Schizosaccharomyces pombe: one gene and its partners. The gene in region 2 interacts genetically with the main gene of each other region. Each region holds a gene or a part of one and is shown on either strand. Other genes may lie near its edges.

Evidence for each region. Genes that interact genetically often act in the same process or in processes that back each other up.
Region 1: of puc1 (region 2) and cdc13, extra expression of one is lethal in a mutant of the other (dosage lethality), as found in Schizosaccharomyces pombe (one study listed by BioGRID).
Region 3: of puc1 (region 2) and crs1, changing one enhances a phenotype caused by changing the other (phenotypic enhancement), as found in Schizosaccharomyces pombe (one study listed by BioGRID).

The regions. Positions count from the first base shown.
Region 1 is NC_003423.3:418,217-425,204, reverse strand, and holds cdc13 (G2/M B-type cyclin Cdc13), read right to left. Parts: upstream 5,095-6,988; 5' UTR 4,897-5,094; exon of another isoform or gene 4,770-4,896; intron 4,544-4,769; 5' UTR 4,083-4,543; coding exon 2,634-4,082; 3' UTR 1,937-2,633; downstream 1-1,936. Other genes in the region: protein dsh1, read left to right, coding at 45-284, 333-458, 513-781, 832-1,293, 1,334-1,423, 1,467-1,536, 1,607-1,936; exocyst complex subunit Exo70, read right to left, coding at 5,729-5,794, 5,896-5,932, 5,986-6,988.
Region 2 is NC_003423.3:3,697,262-3,704,763, forward strand, and holds puc1 (G1 cyclin Puc1), read right to left. Parts: upstream 4,429-7,502; 5' UTR 3,392-4,428; coding exon 2,312-3,391; 3' UTR 1,937-2,311; downstream 1-1,936. Other genes in the region: DNA-binding transcription factor Thi5, read right to left, coding at 1-433; SPOM_SPBP8B7.31 (acid phosphatase), read left to right, coding at 1,072-1,153, 1,212-1,463, 1,539-1,658, 1,712-1,776; U3 snoRNP protein Utp4, read right to left, coding at 6,481-7,502.
Region 3 is NC_003423.3:3,450,395-3,455,396, forward strand, and holds crs1 (cyclin Crs1), read right to left. Parts: upstream 3,123-5,002; 5' UTR 3,013-3,122; coding exon 2,725-3,012; intron 2,684-2,724; coding exon 2,524-2,683; intron 2,484-2,523; coding exon 2,428-2,483; intron 2,376-2,427; coding exon 2,195-2,375; exon of another isoform or gene 2,147-2,194; coding exon 1,929-2,146; downstream 1-1,928. Other genes in the region: ade9 (trifunctional formate-tetrahydrofolate ligase/methenyltetrahydrofolate cyclohydrolase/methylenetetrahydrofolate dehydrogenase), read left to right, coding at 1-1,758; protein mug110, read right to left, coding at 3,352-4,023, 4,067-4,141; myr1 (N-myristoyltransferase 1), read left to right, coding at 4,830-5,002. UniProt on the Schizosaccharomyces pombe protein: Has a role in meiotic chromosome segregation.

The DNA of each region.
Region 1 (6,988 bases), 3.3 Mb from region 2:
ATCCATTCATTGATTGCATTTCTAATTAGCATATATTACTACAGGCTATTTTCATATATTATGAAACCCCACAAATGTTTGACTTGGCTACCAAGGCACTGCAAACACTTTACAACTCCCATACTCGTGAAGGCGAGACAAAGGCAGCTTCCAAATGGTACAGAAATCCCCGAAAAGATTTTCCAAGTCAAGAAGCTGCTTTAGTAAGAAAGAAGAAACGCGATGCTTTGATTTTAAAAAAATATTTACTCAATGTGGATCCTTCTTTGTCATTTCGTGCAGAGGTAATATTTACATATTGAGCTCATTTATAATAACTTGACGATTATTAGGGTTTATTCACATTACCTTCAGATGATTTGGACGTTTACGAATTTTTCGGTGGAGAAAATCTTACTTTATTCAATCAAGTCCGTGTGGATTGCCAATGTTATATCCACTATCTGCCCAAGTTAGCTGTATGTATTTTAAGTAATTTCTTTTTACAGGATGCTTACATTTCATTCTTTCAGGCCTTTTATGTTCGATGCGACAGTGTAAAAAACTTAAAGGTTGCTTTGAAGCGAGTCAAACACATTTTTTACGAGCAGGTCTCTTTAATTAGATTAGAAAGGACTCAGCCAATACTGCATCTAATGAATTTTGACGACTACTCAACCTCTTATGAACTGTTTTATGATCGAAACTTCCCATTAGCGAAGAAATACAAGCCAAATTCTATTTATCTGCATCGCCTACCCGAATCGATACCGACTCCTGTCGATAGTGTTAAAATTAACTTGTATGTGTTTTTTTTTAAAAAGGCTGGTATATTTATTGACATAACTATAGGATTCGTGAAAGGAGTTTCAATCTTTTAAAAAATTTCGTTTCAGCATCTTTATTTAATGTTTTTTTATTCTCAGGTACAGTTTTTATGCGAGTTAAAGTTGGTATACCTCTATTTGAACGACTCAAAGTTGGTACTAATAAGGTGAAAAATAACTCCGTGAACATTGCACAAAGTTTTTTGGAGCCCCAAACACGGTCAACGTTTTTGAGGTATTTATTCTCTGACGAAGTTTCCGTAAAAGTTTGCCATGTTTTAAAAGAGCTCCGTAGTCCCACAGGCGAAAAACTCTTTGAGTCTTTTTCAGATGATCCTATCACAGCCGTACATTTTGAAGTGATGAATTGCAAAGGTGTTCAAGATACATTGACTGCAATATGGAATACTAATTCAGGCAAACCTAGCGGGTGGTATCTTGAAAGTACTATGTACAAAGCCTTGGACGTTACCTATTACAACTTGAAGTACGTGTTTTTACTCATTTCTTTTCTAACACTCTTGCAGTACGCTTTCATGGAACCTTTACATTGAGTATGGACATCCAACCCAAAACTCAACTTTTTACAAAGAGTTCATATCAAATATTTCTATGTCGTAAGGCTGACTATTAAAAGAAAATTATAAGCTGACCATAAAGTGATGATGGAAGAATCTATTTTATGAATACCAGAGACATAAAAGTTCGGAGTCTAGTTGTCAAATTGAAGGTAAATGAAGTTCATTTAGGCATTACTGTTGGTTTTTACAATTTTTGAGTAAGTAGTTAACTAATTTTAGCATAAATATTGGCATTTATCTTCCGGTTTTCATTTGCATATAACTCGGTTTGAAGCACACGATATGGGCAAAGTTAAAGATATAGATACAGACTTCGAACCTGGTCTCCAATGTTACCAAGTTGGTTCTGACACTTCGGTTCTTCGTTATGGACTCTCGTTTTGGGATCCAAAATGGGATTATCTATTAGCTGATAATCAACATAAACAGCAATGGCAAGCTCCATCTTATAAACCACTGATATCGGAATTTTTCCCTATGGGCATTGAACATTTTATCGAAACGGCACAATCCATTGTTATGGCTGTAAATCGATCTACTATTGATTAATAAAAAAAGGATCACGATATTATTTTTAAAGAAACACATTTAATGTTTTGGTTTAAGTTGTCTATCGAGAGTTAGATGTTATTTGTTTTCATTTTTATTATGAGCAATATACGTTCTGCAAGCTATGAACATAATAAAGTAGTATTCACCTCAAGGAACTATCATTATCATTATTATTATTAATATTACTCCGACTCATGGTGTAGGATATGGGATTCCCAATCGGCAAGTAGCTCAACATCCAGAAAATATAGTACTATTTTGTTATCGTAAGGTCCTAATTGTAAAAAAGAAATAATAGCACAATACTCGTAGTTGTTTAAAGCAGCATCATTAGCAGAAACACAATTGTTATAACGTTACTAGCCACATAGATCAAAACACATATGCGACAGATAATCAAATCTAAGACTTAAAGGTGGGATAATTTAAAGGCATCCATAATTACACTTCTCCAAATGATTTTGGTTTCATAATGACACCAGCATGTACTATGCATCTGGCAATCTTCAAGTACCCGAGCATATAATAATAGAACAAAACAAAAACAAAAGCATTAGGAATTATCGGCGACTCGTTTACAGGACATTACGGTTGCTATTAGTGATAAACTAATACACATATAAAGAGCGCTTGAACAAGTTGGAATATTCACAATTGAAAGAGGTTGAGATAGTGATATGCACAATACACTAAATTACCATTCTTCATCTTTCATGTCATGTTGTATACGTTTTTGCTTGTGAAAAGTATAATCTTCATCAGCGTCATCGCCAAGAGGGATAGAATTCTTCTTGATCCAGTCACGAACAAAAAGACTAGCTTTCATAAACTTTTTGGAGGCATACTTCTTGAAAAAAGCTTCATGTTGAACAGGCTTTTGTAAATAATTAATCATCTTCTTAACAACGGAAATTAATTGGTACTCCTCATAACCTGAGTAATGCACAAGATTACGATTCCACGGTCCACGTCCAAGCATTTCCCTGGCAAGGTACATAGCGGCAGCACACTGTTGGGAAGGGGGATAAGGTAAAAGTTTATGATCTAAAAGACCAATTTCAACAAGATACTTTGCAACAGTTCTTGTTTGAATATCGTAAAAGTCGGCTTTTGAGATACGACGTAGGAAATTCATAGGATTCGGGTAAGCAAGATTAAACTCTAGGACACGCAAAATGTAGCGCTCGGCTTGAAGAATTTCCTCTTCATCATACCCACCATCCGCCATATATACAAAGTTTTGGACTGAAGGGCACATCACCTCCTCATACTTGCTAGCGATGAACAAGGCAGCAATGCCAACCAATTGTAGTTTGTTAAGAGAGCATACCCGCAATGATAAAAATCTATCAATAATATTTACGGCCAAAAACAATGTTTCAGGAAGCAGTCGGAAACGAGAATGCACTTCAATTAACCAATCGGTAAGTATTCCACGCATCTTCCATGCAAGCTCTTTTTGACGATCCATATAAGTAGGAGAGGGCATAGTTTCAATTTCCAACTCATTCAAATATTCAAAAATATCAACGACATATTCAGAAACCATAAGAGGGTCAGCCCAATCTTCTGCATCCAAGTCATCCCAATCTTGAGATTCGGGACTCTCAACACTATCACGGTGAAGTTTGGGAATATCTTTCGAAACAACGCGTTCATCAACATCTTTCTTTAATTTTTTTGGAATAGTTGCTTGATCCTTATGGAAAGCATCAACCCCATGGGTTGAAACAGAGTGTGATTTCGTTGACAAGTGTTGAGGTAACGAGGGGACTGATGAATTAAAAACAGAAGGTTGGCGACGCTTCTTGGAAGCGGGTTCATCATCTGTTGCAGGGATTATAGACTTTTCCTCGAGAGCACGACGGGTACTGACAGAAGCAGTAGTGTGTCTGACATTTGTGTTTTTACTAGCTAATGGAACACCTTCTTTGTTGTGAAAATTGGAAACATCATCCAACGCATGACGCTTCTTAGGAACGTTGGTGGAAGACACAGTGGCTTTCTTGCCATTTACTAAAGAATTTTCTGAAGAGTGCAAAGAGCTTTTTGCACGGGCAATATGGTTTGAAGGATGATTTTCGTCATTGTTGCCCAAGGTATTTGCCAATAGGTGCTGGCGAGTTAAACGACGGGTAGTCATGAGGAAAAGAAGAAACGAATTCTGTCGGGGATTGAAAGAGAGGAAGGGAAATTAAAATATTAATTGGTTCAGGTAACAGAAATGATAAAAAAGAGGTTTTGAACGAACAACCTTTTTAAAGTGTCTAAAAACGTGAAGGGGTAGTACGGGACGGAGAAGATAAAATAGAATGAGTTATACTTGAAAGTTTATACAAAAATTTTAAGGATAAAATCCAAGCAAAAATGTATGTTTCTCGTACGTATAAAGGAGAAAATAATAGCCTTTGACCGAATCTAGAATTTGGCAAGAGCTTTTGAGACTTCTTTTTTTCAATAAAGTAAGGGGATTGCGATGAAGTCCAACAATGGATATAGGAAACGTAGAACACGAAACTGAACTTTGAAATGAAGCTATATGTAGAATCGATGTACGATTTTCCTATATTAACACCAGAACAAGAAAAGAAGGGTAAATGTTGACTTTAAATGACGTTAGTAAATCTAATGAAAAAACAAAATGGCACAATAAAGGATTATCCTATGAAAAAAAGAAACTTTGATAGGAAAATAAAATGGGTAGTTATTTAAATTTAAACCCCCATGTTTTACAGCACCCACCCCTTAATCCCTTCATAAATTTTAAAAAAATAAAAAAATAAAAAGAAATGAAGTTAGACTTAAAGAGGATTTCATGTTTTCGCTGAACTAGGTGAAGTCGAGGAAAAAGGGTGACTATTGATTGGGAAGAAATTTTCACATCTTCAGAAGGTCGTATTGTATGAAAATGTTCTTACACAACCAAAACTGTATTCCCAGCCTTTAACATTACTTACAATCTGATTAAGCTCTTGTTACAAGCAAGAAGACAAGACGAAAGAACAAGCTTTGCTTAACCGACCAGGTTCCGCTTCTTTTCTCGCCTCTAGCTCTAGACAGTGACTAATAGGGGAAAAGTCCTGTTCTTGCTTATATTTCTATGAGCAGGAATGTCGTTTAAGGGTAAAAACTCGTCAAGATGCTGGTTAAGGACAGCTCGTGGTAGTGGAGTCGACTGAAAGGAGTATCGTAGAGGGCGTAAACACTATGGGGTTGTCGGGGTAACGCAACGTTGGCAAGCTGGGAAACAAATACAAACATCAAATAATATGGTAATTTTCAATGTAAACAATAATATAAATATTAAACAAAAACAAACACGAGTTTCGTAAAAATAAGAAAACGGAGATATGGAACCACAATTTAATGTATATGAGCTACCTCACTATTGTAAAAAAGAGGTAATAATGTTATTGTCTATGAAATTATGCTGGGCACATTATATAAAGTAAAGAACGTATATAATCGAAACATGATTGCTTGGGAAATGCAATTAAAAATTAGTTCTTCAAGTTTTCTTTAATAATTACAATATTTAGTGGGTAGCTTACTCGTAAGCAGAATCTGAGCAGGGTAAACAACAAAGTCATCAAAAAAGGGGAGTTAATAATTAAAAAAATTATATGGAACGATTTAATAATGTAAAATAGAAGTCAAATTTTTGAATTTGAGATATGGTCCGTCTTTATTTACATCAGTCAAATGCTTCAAAGAAAAGTGAGAATGCCAGTACACCCACTTTAGTACTATATTATGGAATTTCAAAGGACCCAAATTCATCATATTGAATCATAGGGAAGGAGCAAACGCGCTTGTAATAAAAGAATCTAAATCAGCCTTTGTAAATTTGATATACTACGTAATGAGTAAGCAAAATGAAAAACGATAACAACTTAAATGTATATACACATCGATAAACTAGCAAATGAATATCGACAAATCCTCAATACACATACCTTGTCTTTATTTTTTGTAAAATCACTGTTGATGTATCTAAACAGAGGTTAGCTATAGTGGAACTAACAGTTTTTAATTGATCTTCATACTTATCATAGAACCTTTGATATAAAGGTAGTACAGTTTTCTTAACTTCTTGCAATAGAAAAGTGGCAACACCAGTTTCAAACCTAACAGATTCACGATGCACTTGAACAACAGATGTAACTTGTTCGTTGAAGTTTCGGAATTTTTCCTTTGTAATCTCTCGTTCTTTAGCAGACATAGTGGATTTGTTTTGAGATTTTGTATAGGTAGAATCGAGCATATTTTGAGAACACTGTCGCCAAACTTCCATATACATGGTTGAGTACTTTTGTGATCGATCTCCTAGCTTTTCTAAATCAACGTCTTGTAAAAATGATGCAATTTTTGACTCAAGACATTTTGCTTCAAAATAGACGCTGATGTTTAAAAGCATTACGCCCATTTTCCATCCAATCGTATCCACTGCCTGGGCAGCTGTTTGAACAGAAGTTAGGTAGGAATCCATACAATCCATAACATAGTTCCTCGTAATGTCTTGAACTGAGCGCGCAGGACTGAGATCAGCATTAATTTCGTGTCTCCAGCCCCAATTACCAATACTTTCAAGCAAATAAGAGGCATTTTCATGCTCAGCAAGTTCATTCAAGAAACTCATAATACCATGAGTCATTTCACTGACTCTATCAGTTGTGAGAGGGACTGTTTTGTTGTTATGGCAAGTGCCATTATACAGCCTCGATATAGAAGAAATCAATATCTTTTCCATTTCACGACCAACACCATTCACAAAACCAAGGAAAGAAGCATCTTCAAAAGGCATAAGATTATTCATGTTTTGGCGTGTAACAACGATACAATCAATTAAAGACAACAAAACAAAATTTTCTGCAGCACCTCTTTTTTCATAAACTCCCTCAAGCTGTCTGGTGGCATTGGTGACAGTGTTTATGGCAGGCTTAACGATTTTGGGATAAAGTGCCTTAGCAGTAACTTGATCAAACAAGAGTAGCAATTCCGAGGCAACGGCTGGTAATAGTCTAGATAAAGCAACTAAATTGATCGAAA
Region 2 (7,502 bases):
TTGTAGCAGCAACCTTTAAAACAGATTGATCAATTGACCCGGGTATTAGCAAAGAACGAACGTCGCTTCCAGAAGCTAATGAAGATTCGACATGTTTGCATAGTTTGACTAAACTACGTGTGTCATGAGGAAGAGAAGGACACAGCAATTCCATCAGATATTCGAAGCATTTCTGCCTTTGACTCAGTTCCGCAATAAATTGTTTTGAGGGAGTACGCTCTTTTAAAGAATCAGCATACTTACATTGCGAAGGCGTAGCAATGCAAGCCTGACATGGTTCAGAACCACTGCATCGAATTTTCTTGGCCCGACAAGACAGACATGCCCGCCTTACTCTTCTTCTACTGTCCAAAGGAACACGCCTTCTTTGTTTATACTCTTCCTCTTTGGCTTCTAAAAACAAAGAACGACTAGAAAAGTCAGAGGGACACATAAACTTCGCATAATAACAATTGCTACATTTAAGATTTTCATATAGGTAAATCAATTTCGCTGTCGGTCACAGGTACCCGAAGGTGGTAAGTAGCAATGCTACTTCAATTTTAAATAGTATGCATCAGCAAAATTAAATTTGCTAGTAAGCTCTGTCAAGTCCCCAGGTTAATATAAATGTATTAAATGCAGTAAAAAAATTTATTGTTTAAATGAATATGTTAATGACAACGATTAATTGACTGTAATTTGGTAGTATACAGTTTTGATCAATTTTATAAAACATGGTATTTACACAGTGTTTTTTGGTATCAGTTTATTTGTTTATTGAGAATATCAAAGACAGTTAAATTAAATAATAATAATTCATAAAAGTTAATGAAATTCAAACATTTGTTTCCTAAGTTTTTTTCATTACTAATGCAAAAAAAGTTGAATATATATATTTTTCTTTAAAAAAAATTGGATTACATCAACGTACCAACTAAAATTGTGTCAATCTTATCGAACTAGCAAACTGGCAGTAAACTTCTTGAAAGCGTTACGGTCAATCTTTTGAACTTGAAATCACTCTTAAAAAGACTTTCATTCTTGTTGTTTACGAACCTAATAACCAATACCATAAAATATCAAGCAAATATGGTAAAAAATATCGAATTCCCAAAATGCGTTGTTTTTGACTTAGACTACACTCTGTGGCCTCTTTGGATAGATACCCATGGTATTAAATCTTTTACTTTGATCTACTTTATGTTTTATTTTCTAACAAAGTTTCACAGTCACTGCACCATTTAAGCCTTCCAAAAATGACCCAGGCGTTTTGATTGACAAATATGGCACAGAGATTTGTTTTTACTCAGATATAACTGGAATTTTACAAGAGCTAAGGAACCAAAAAGTTACTTTGTGCGTTGCTAGCCGTACTTGTGCTCCCAAGTATGCGAAACAAGCATTGAATTTGATGAAGGTACCAATAGATGGAAGTCTTAAGCCGGCTATCGAATTTTTCACTTATGTAAAAGCTTGGCCAGGTATGTCTTTTAATACATTTTTGTCAATACAGAAAATATCAATAATCATATTGCTAACTAGTTATTGTGAAATAGGTAGTAAAATGGATCACTTCAAAGAGATCCACAACGAATCTGGAATTGACTATCGAGAAATGGTGTTTTTTGATGATGAGTCTAGGAACAGAGAGGTTGAAAGACTTGGTGTTACATTCTGTTTAGTTCCTGATGGCCTTAATCGTGCGTCCTTTGAGCAAGGTATAAACAAGTGGAGAAAATTAAAAAAAACTCACTAAATATTCTTTCATTTCTAAAAAATCATATGCATGGTTAATTTTTCTTTTGAAAGAAAAGTTAATCAATTTTGCTTGCATCTTAAGAAAACAACTATCGTGCTTTAACTTATATTTAGAAGTCTCTATTCGAATTGAGATGTATTTTGTTTAATCACAGTATCATTGTTAAAATTGGGAAACACTGATACTACTTTTAATGGGTGAAGAATCAAATTTAGAAATTAAATCTATTAAAGACCTAAATTGCTTCAATCTGTAATATGGGGTTTCTTATGAACTTTCTCTTTTCTTTTTGCAAACTAAGTAAGTATCATATAAATAAATAACAAAAATATATACAAACGGTATAATGTCATATGAGCATAGTTGCAAACCGGTTTAGGAAAACAAAGAACATAACAGAGTAGTTTAATTGATTAATATAATGAATTTTATAAAAATTCTTAAAAAAAATTACATCACTATACACTTACTTTTCTCAAGTAAATATATAATTTTGAAATTATATCTCCATTACATGTTTGTCTAGAAGCATTGCAATATATATAAATCGAAGAAGAAGCAATGTTAAAGTTACAAAGTACGCTCAGTATCCTTTTCAGTCATGTTGCACCAGGCAGCCATTGCGCATTGTTCCGGATATTTCTTTGCTAAAATACTAGAAATACGGCCTAGTGAGGAAAACAGTAAATCAGTACATTCCTCATTAGCATACCTCTTTGACATGTTTTCCATATATGATGTTACGGTATCCAAGTCTTCAGGCCACAAAAAGTTATCATCTTTGCGATAGGATTCCATAGAAGGGTGTGTCAAAAGAAACGATCCGACATGTTCGTTTACGATGTTCATAACTGAACATGCGATTTTGGAAGCGGGAAATTTGAATAAATTAGGTACAAACATTGATGCATCAAGTACTAAGAAAAAAATCGGGTCTAAAACAGGAATATACGAAGCTGGTGTAGGGATTGAGATATCCCAATCAAGAGTATCAAGTATGTGGCGTTCCATACGAATAAATAAATCCTCAGCATAGATGTTTTTACAAGCTAACTTCAGTTCTTGCAATAATGGAACACGGTCTTCTGTTTCATGAAATTTACTGGCAATCCAAAGACAAACACATGCTACTAACTGAATGTGTTTGCAGTATACCACTCTCCTCGAGACATATGAATCCATGAGGGAAATACTAAGCGGAAGAGTATCAATAGACAAGTCGAATCCATTATGTATTTCTACAATAAAATTAACGAGTGCAGGTCGCATTGACCATCTGAGTTCCGGTTGCTGATTAGAAAGATGGACATTCAGCAAAAAATTTTTCTCTCTAGTAATCAGATGATGGATAATGTCTTCCTGGTACTCACCTAAATACCCGTTCATTGATAAACCAGTGAGTAAAGAGGATTGAGTGTTATAAAGTAAGGCGCTAGATTCCGCTGACAATGTGCTAACAGAGTCGACAACAAATGCAGTCTCATTTTTAAGAGAGGGAGATTTGGAATTAACGCCTTTTGGTGAAACAGCTAAAGAGCAAGGGCCCACTGATAGAGAATATGAACAGGCAGCTAATATTTTAGGTTCTATACTTGAAGATGAAGTGGGAGTATGAGCAGTAAGTTGTTCCTCATTGGAAGAAACTAACATACTGGGTAGACAGGTATTTGAAAATAATGAGAAGGAAAGAGTAGAAAAGCTCTTCACAGTCGATGAAGTTGCAGCTCAAAGTTCAGTGAATTATTAAAAAAATGATACTGAAGAAAAAATAATTGGACATAAACAGGCTCAGATTGCTTGTTAAGAGGTAGTGGTCAAAGCGAATAGTGTTTAACTAACTGAAAGCGATACAACGGCGGAAAATTAAGGGACGATTTAAAAAGGAAGAAAAAAAAAGAGTGAGGTGACGATTAAAAAAAAGGGAAAAATTACTGGGTTTTCAAGGACGCTAAAGAGATATCAATAATGGAAGGGGTAATATAAAGGAATCGAAAGAGTAAATTGCAAAGGACTTGTAAAAAGCCAAGACGAAAGAACCCAATAATATATAGTGAAAAAAGGCTATATAAATATTAAAAGAATGCAAAATGAAGCGGAAGAAATTAGATGCGATAAATATATGTTTCCAAAAAGGTTCGGTGAATAGTTATTTAGTTTGATTAACGGATTTCAGAAGCAGACAATGCATTCATACTAATGAAAATATTACAAAGAAACACAAGGTTAATTCCAAAAAGAAAAAAAAAATAAAAAAAAATAAAAGGAAGAGAAAGATATTTAGTAAAATATGTCCATATGCAGCAAAAATAAGGAAATAAATTTCAATTAAACCAAACGATGTATTGCAAAAGAAAAACAAAATTTGGTTACGCTGTTCAAACTTTCGAATTCATTTACAGTGCAGTCAATTTAATTTACCGCAACCTTGATAGGACAGAAATTATAAAAGAACACCAAAAGCTGGAGAAAAGTAAGTGGTACAGACTCTTTTAAAGAAAACAATTCAGTTCCGTCAGCTACTATTTTATAAAAAATGATAAACGGATACGACTAAGAGATCGAATTTGTGAACGATTCGTACCAAGCAATAAATAAAGTTGTCGCTTGTATACCAAAAGCAATTATGGTGTGGTAAGAAAAGAGAATGTAACAAAAAACAAGGCGGAACTGGTAAAGAGATAAATTATGGAAGGTTATAAACGGTGGGCAATCGATATCTTTATAAGGATAAATCTTATAGTGTAGTGACAATATCGCGAATCGGTATCCTTACATTGTGAATGTACAATGTCCATTCTAACTCGTAATTTCTGCAACGTAACTAGCTACTGTTAGTAACAACAACCGGAATTTTCGGATTTGAATTAATTAAGCCTCAAGTGATCTCCATCTTGGTATGGCCGATTCACAAATTTACCATACCAACGATGTGTACTGAAAGCGTAAAGTACTAACACACAATTAATTCAATGGGTCAAGCACATCATGTAAGTGACGACGTAGCCCAAAACTATTCCATTCATAGCACGCCATCTATCAAAGAACTTGAACAAAGAAACTAGTACAAAATTTTGATTTTCAAAAGCGGTTAATTGATAAGTTACTTGCTGTAAATCATATTGGCCAAATCGTGAAATGTACGTACTGCTAACATTGCGCACGCAAGTAAGAAAAAGTGGGGACAAGAAGCAGAGGTAAATCAATTATTCAAGAATGTAAATATTGACCCGTTCGATCATCTACAGCTTTTTTTTTATGAAAATCACGTTATTAACAAAATGGCTGGTGCAATCCAGCTATAACTACAGCTAGATAGATTAACATTAATAATATCGATTTTCTTCACAATAGCATATACCGCAATCTTTATTTTACATAGCAGAAGGAAATAAGCAGCCCAATTACTGTGTGTAAATGTTTATCACTTAGTATATGGATTAAACAAATTGTAAATAATAGTCAAGACTTAAGTCAGTTAATTTCCGATGAAATAATTAATTTTTGAGGAGAATGTGGGGAATGAACATGAATAACTAGCATGGATAAATAGATTCGCAATCAGTGACATAACGATATTTATGAGCCGTCTAGTTTCACAGATAATTCCACCTGGTGGTGCGGATAAAAGTAGGATAGAAAATAACAGAACCAAAACGTTGAAAAACGCATTGCTTGGCTTAAAGGTCATAACATTATTCTATTCAATGGAAAAAAATGTTTGGTAGTTGAACGAGATTGCTTCTCAACGCAATGTTTTATTTTCACTACGAAATGTTCTCATGCTTCTAATCTATGACTTCTACTTTACATGCTGTTGATTCAGGTGGTGTTTTTGTACCAAAGTGGGGGGTCTAAGTCGTTAGTACTATTGTCCTTCTTCTGGTTAGTACTGACAGTTTGTATTACATTTTAAGTGGGATCGTAGTAACTAAATGGGGGTACATAAAACTGGTACTACTAAACAGATTTATCTAAGTTGTGAACAAATTTCAATAAACAAACGAATGTATAATCTCATCGGCAAGAAAATAATTTTTTACGTCAATCACTTATTTCACTTCTTTATTTTATTTTGAATATATCAAATGTAATCAAGTTTAGAAACGTAGACGGGTTCATGTATGAGCTTTCTTCGTTTCATTTGCATATATATCCTTTGTAAGATTCTGTTACTTTGAATATGTTTTCTTTATAAGTTGTAGATGGTAATTGCTACTCTTTAAATACAAGCTGTCTTCTACAATAATTTTAATTTTACCAGAGTATTTTTAATTATCCTCATGCGAGTAATTTTCTAATTATGTGGTGTAACAAAAATAGCGTTCGGTTAAATTTTAGTTCGCCGTGTTAAGTCTATTAATCAAAAAATTTGGGTTCGTAAAATTGTACGCCTATCTGCCTAGAATCAAGTGAAACCATATTACAGGCATAATGCTCCAATCGATAATGGGAATAAACAACTCAGACTTTGGAAATTCACAGCTACATTGCCATAATCATATTGTGGATGGGTGTGTCACCTTGAAATGTTTTATTGATAAACTAACTAGCAACTAATCTATGCTTTTTATCGGAAAAAATAAAAATAAAATAAACTCCTATAATAAAAGACCTTTTTGTACAAAATCATAATAATACCACCCTATTCCAGACATTTTTTTTACGTAAAATGACATATTAAAACCTCTTCGTTTTTTTTAGTACGAAGAAACTCCTCCATCTTCATACATAATACATATTTACGAGCCAAATTTGTGCTCATAAAAGCTTGCTGGCATTGATTTACTCATCAACATATCGGCGATTGGTCGTTCGACTACCAGCAATTCAGAGTTTCCTACAGAGCCTACAAGTAGCATTGGTCGATATTTGTGAGTAATCCAGAAACACCTAGAATCCCCTGTTCCATAATTTGAAATGCCGTTCGAATTAGCATTCGCCAATTTTTTGTCATTCAGATTCCCGTCAACTGTTGCATTCATTTCAATTTTACGTTTTCCGGCAGCGCGAGGCGCTGGTAATTGAAGATTAAGATCGAAAAATGAAACCCAGTTGGCTGACCAAATCCAGAATCGACTCGGATGTTTAGAGTCGAAAAATGCTCCGAATGCCTTATCTAGAAGTTGCGAAAATTCTTTGGGCATATTTGTAGAATTGTTTTTTGACCATTCAGATAATTTACGGGATTGAACATCAAACTCATAAACTTGATTTCCCGCCGTAGCAACAGCTAAACGGCCTCGTACATCTGGACGAAAAGCCATTGCACGAACATAAGTGTTAACTCGTGGTAACTCTGAATATGTTAAATTTGACAAGGAGTAGCAGAAAATATTTCCAACTGTGTCCGCAACAGCAAAATAATCTCCATCCGAAGATACCGCTATACTGCAAATACCATCACACATGCTGCTTACATTGCTTCGCTGACGAGGAGCAATTTTCTTGCTAGTGGGTTGTGATAACTCGAAAACTTCTAGCTGACGAGAATCCAGTCGACTTAATTCAATGAGAAATATCTCGGAATCGTTACTAACAAGGATAAGCTTGTTCTTATCTACAGTAAAACTAAGCAGGCTAGCACCAATATTTGAAAGGAAGGAGTCCTCAACTGTTTCAACTTTCACATTTTCATCGCTATACTGTAATTGATAAAGCTTCGTCCTCAAAACGGAAGAAATTGCAATTAATTCCCCATCAGGAGAAATTGCTGCATGTGAAATATTTTCTTCGTCAGCCAACACAATTTTTAATAAAAACC
Region 3 (5,002 bases), 250 kb from region 2:
TTAAAGCACCGAAAAGATGGGAACTATGTTGTTGTAAGTGGTATTACTCCTACACCTTTTGGCGAAGGTAAAAGTACAGTTGTTGCTGGTTTGGTTCAAGCTATGGGCCATTTGGGTAAGCTTGGAATTGCTTGTGTCCGTCAGCCGTCCCAAGGGCCGACATTTGGTGTTAAAGGAGGCGCCGCTGGTGGAGGCTACGCACAATTTATTCCTATGGATGACTTTAACCTTCATATGACTGGAGATATACACGCTGTTACCGCAGCAAATAATCTTTTAGTCGCGGCTCTTGAAACTAGGATGTTTCATGAAAACACACAATCTGATGCTGCCCTTATAAAACGTTTGATCCCTGTTAAAAACGGGCGAAGAGTCATTCCACGAGGATTGATCGGTAGGTGGAATCGTATTTGCGCATCTCATAACATGGATCCAGAAGATGTTAATAACGCATCACCGGAATTACTGAAAGAGTTTGTGCGGCTAAACGTAGATCCTGACACCATCGAATGCAACAGAGTATTGGACGTCAATGATCGATTCCTCCGTTCTATTGAGGTTGGAAAAGCATCAACTGAAAAGGGACATGTCCGTAAAACTTCTTTCGATATCTCTGTGGCCAGTGAATGCATGTCAATTCTGGCTCTTTCATGTGATTTAAACGACATGCATTCTCGTTTATCCCGTATGGTTATAGCCAACGACAAATACGGAAATGCTATTACTGCTGGCGACCTTGGAGTTTCTGGAGCATTGACCGTTTTGCTTAAAGACGCTATCAAACCTAACTTGATGCAAACTTTGGAAGGAACACCAGCGTTTGTTCACGCAGGACCTTTTGCAAACATTAGCATTGGCGCGTCTTCTATTATCGCTGATAAAATTGCTTTAAAATTGGCTGGTACAGAAAGCTTTGACAGACCCGAAGATGCCGGCTATGTCGTTACCGAAGCAGGATTTGCGTCTGACATGGGAATGGAAAAATTCTTTAACATCAAATGTAGATACTCAAAACTTGTACCTAACACCGTTGTTTTGGTTACCACTGTTAAAGCGCTTAAGTTACATGGAGGCGGTCCCAAGTTAAAACCTGGTGCCCCAATTCCTGAGGAATATCTTGTTGAAAATCTAGACCTTGTAAAGAATGGATGTTCCAACATGGTAAAACACATTCAAAATTGTCATAAATTCAATATTCCTGTTGTTGTCGCCATCAACAGTTATAAGACTGATAGTTCTAAGGAGCATGAAATAATACGCGAGGCAGCGCTACAAGCTGGAGCTGTGGATGCTGTACCTTCGGATCATTGGGCCCAAGGCGGCAAAGGAGCTATTGAATTGGCCAAGTCCGTAATGACGGCTTGTGATCAGTCATCCAATTCGAAGTTTAGGCTTTTGTATGATAGCGAGACTTCAATTGAAGATAAAGTAAATGTGATTGCAAAAGAAATGTATGGAGCAAACGGTGTTGAATTTAGTTCTCTAGCTAAGGAACGAATAAATACGTTTATCAAACAAGGGTTCGGTAACTTACCAATTTGCATGGCGAAAACCCAATATTCTCTTTCGCATAATCCCGAATTTCGCAATGTTCCAAAAAATTTTACAGTTCCTATTAGAGATATGCGTTTGAATGCTGGCGCTGGCTTCATTTATCCGCTAGCTGCTGAAATCCAAACAATTCCTGGTTTACCGACTGCGCCTGCCTATTTAAACATTGATATATGTGAAAATGGAGAAATTGTTGGGCTGTCATAAATCTACTAAGAGGAAATAAAGAAAATGTTGGCTATTCATTGGTAATTTATTATTGTTTTAGTTAATTAGGTTTATGGGCGTTATTAAAAAGGGTTTAGAGTTTTGATTAAATAGCTTAGTTTTAATAATTAAGTTCATTAGAATTTGGGTTAATAGATGGGTTTGAAGCTTTATGCTAACATATCCGCTATACGCTGGATAGATATAATCAAATCGTGAAACCGATTTGAGTGTTTAATATAAGTTTCATCTGCAGAACCATTTGTGGGCAAAGAACACAAATGTTGAAAAGGTTTGAAATCAAACGCAGAAGGCCAAATAATTTCAAGCAAGACCCAGAACGAAGCGCATAAAATTTCCGTCGGCCTATATTCGATAAATTGACAATCTGTTCAGATTAGCGTGCTATCCATTAATATATTATCAATCTACTAACCCTTCATTACCTCAACCAGTAAATACTGCCATTCAACCATCATTTGATCACAGCTTTCAGAAGGCAAGGATTTAAAGAATACATGTTGGAAGATCAACGGTGTTAAAAAAGACTCAACAGAAGGAAGAGAAATGACATATATATCGAAGTTTAATAAAGCAAGAACAATTTTCTCGTATTTCTATTAATTTGTTAAAGAAACATGTTTCAACGAGCTGTAAATCACTACAAACCTCTAAGTTTTTTGTAGACAAACTTGGAGCCAAATTCTCGCAAAAAGACTTCTTCGCTACAAAAGAAATTAATAACAGTTTTTATCGCGAACATACCAACTGAGTAGTCACTTGTAAGTTTAAATGCAATGAACAGACAGCCGATAGCATAAATTTTAAAACTGGTAGTTGGAATAGTTGGTTTAACGGTGAAACAACGATCCAACAGAGAAATTGCAATGCACAACGTGTCCATAGATACGTAGCCGACAGTTTCCTGTTTCGTTAGAATCTCGAAAAATAGCAATGCTGACGCACTTCATAAAGTACAGAAAAAAGTTGCTGACGCTTTTCCTTATAAGCAATGTTTTGATTCAGAATAGAAGGGGATATTTTTGTGAGTCCTTTCTTCTCTTGCTCAATGATCGAATTAACGGATGGGACGCGTCTAAGATTTATTAAATGACTAGAGAAAGACTCAGAAAATGTAACATCTATTTCATTAGAAGTTGTTAACGGCCCTTCAGAAATAACCTCTTTCTCGGATTTGCTGTTAATAGCGGGAGTGTTTAAGAATAAGCTAAATTCGTGTTTAGATGTAAGCATTTCATAAATTTTATAATTTAAATGATTATTAGAATAAGGATGTTTGTTTGAATTAAGAAATTCAATAGTGATTTTCTAAGTCTAGCCGTATCTGGGTATGTGTTGTGGTTAAGGTCATTTTGGTACGTTTACGCGAAAATGCTTTTGGATATCAATCATGCATAGTAGAATTAAACAGTCTAATGCCATATAAATGCTTATAGCATATACTTATATAAACATGAAATAGAAGTATAACAATAATTAGTATTAGAATTGCTATAAATTCCAGAGAAGAGAAAACACTGCTAGCATAAATAATAACTATGGCATTCCTGAACCGGTGAAGTAAGGAGATACTCAGGTTTGATTTGCATTGTTAGAAAAAGCATGTGTAGATGTAACGGATGGAACAGACAACACTTGATAGGGTGGAGGTAATGAATCTGAGATGCTCGCTGAGGCAGAAGGATAACGAAGATTAAGAGTTCGAGAGATATTTATAAAGTTGTTAGAAAACCCGTATAAGTAAGTGTTGTTAGATGCTTCACGAGTATTGGGAGCTTCAGGAAGTAAAGCAGGTTCTGGATATGGCGGTAAGACACGATTCCCATTGCATCGACCAATACCTATTCCATGATAAGATATGCGAGGTCCATGCTTTTTAAGTTTCGCCAACTGACGAAGCTGAAGTATTCTGGCGTTAGGCGTATCAAAGGATGGATATGGATTTACACCGCCTTCGCCAGCTTTAGAAAAATTCAAGACAACATCAATTCCTTCTCTCTCACCTTCAATTCCAACTAGCCGTTCATTTTCTTGAAGGCTCGCAGAATATTTTGGTAAAGTGATAGAAGGCTCGACTATTGGAAGATCGTACATATCTGTTTCCAACTCTTCCTCATCATCAATAGACATGCAGCAGAAAATGGATCTTAGCAGTCTGTTCTTTTGGTAAGTACAACTATGATATCTTTTTATAATGATCAAGGCAATAAAGAAAATAGGGATTAAAACAGAAAACCAAAATACCTAAAATGTTAACCTTTAAATTTCAACAATTTAATTAACTTACAAACCGTAGTTCTTTTAGGTCTTCTGTGCTAGCAAAGCTAGAAGCTTGATCATTTTCATCAGACGATTCAACCATTTGATCCTAATTCAAAGCACTCAGCCAAGCTTAGCATAAACTTGTTAATGAAATAACAAGCAAAGCTCCAAAAAAAAGAGAGAAAGATTGATTTTCCTTCGGATCCCACTCCAGTTACAAATGGTTAAAGGATGAGATTCGACTTCATGCGAATAATGCAAATACCAAGATCATGTAAACAAACAAACGCTCGAAAAAAGTGCCAAGTTCAACTCATACATTTTATCGAGTATAAAAATATGGAGACAAAATAAATAGGTTTACTATTTCATCTATTGTTCATTTTTTAAACGATCATGGAATCTTATGTAATGATTTGTATTTTGAGTTTTCTATTAATGCAGCAGCTTCAAGCGCAAACGTCTGCTACTCATTAAGTAATCCATCTCCCCTTAAAGATAAAATTAATAAAGGACTTTAACTAATTTTTTTTATCATCAAATTTGGTTCGCTAAGGAGACAACAATATGCTGAAGCGTTTCTCACGTATAGTTATTTTTTTTATTTTATTCCTCTTTATTAAGTAGTAAAATTAAATTTTGAAGGTTCATTGGCGAGAAACGCTTCTATTATGCAGCCGACGTTTTGTCGTTAGTAGACCTAGTCCATCTGGAAATATCCAAGCTAGAACCAAACTTGACTTTACGGCCAACTTTGCTTTATTTTTAATATTTTTGGATTATTTACGATGGACAACGAAAATAATAAAAATACAAAAAATTCACAGCAAGACAGCTCATTTTCTGAAGGAGGAATTCGTGAACTGCTAGACCGATTGGCGTTGAGATCTTTGATAGAAAAAGAAGAAGCTGCAGCTCCCCCAAAGACTTACGAAGATTTCAAATTTTGGAAAACCCAGCC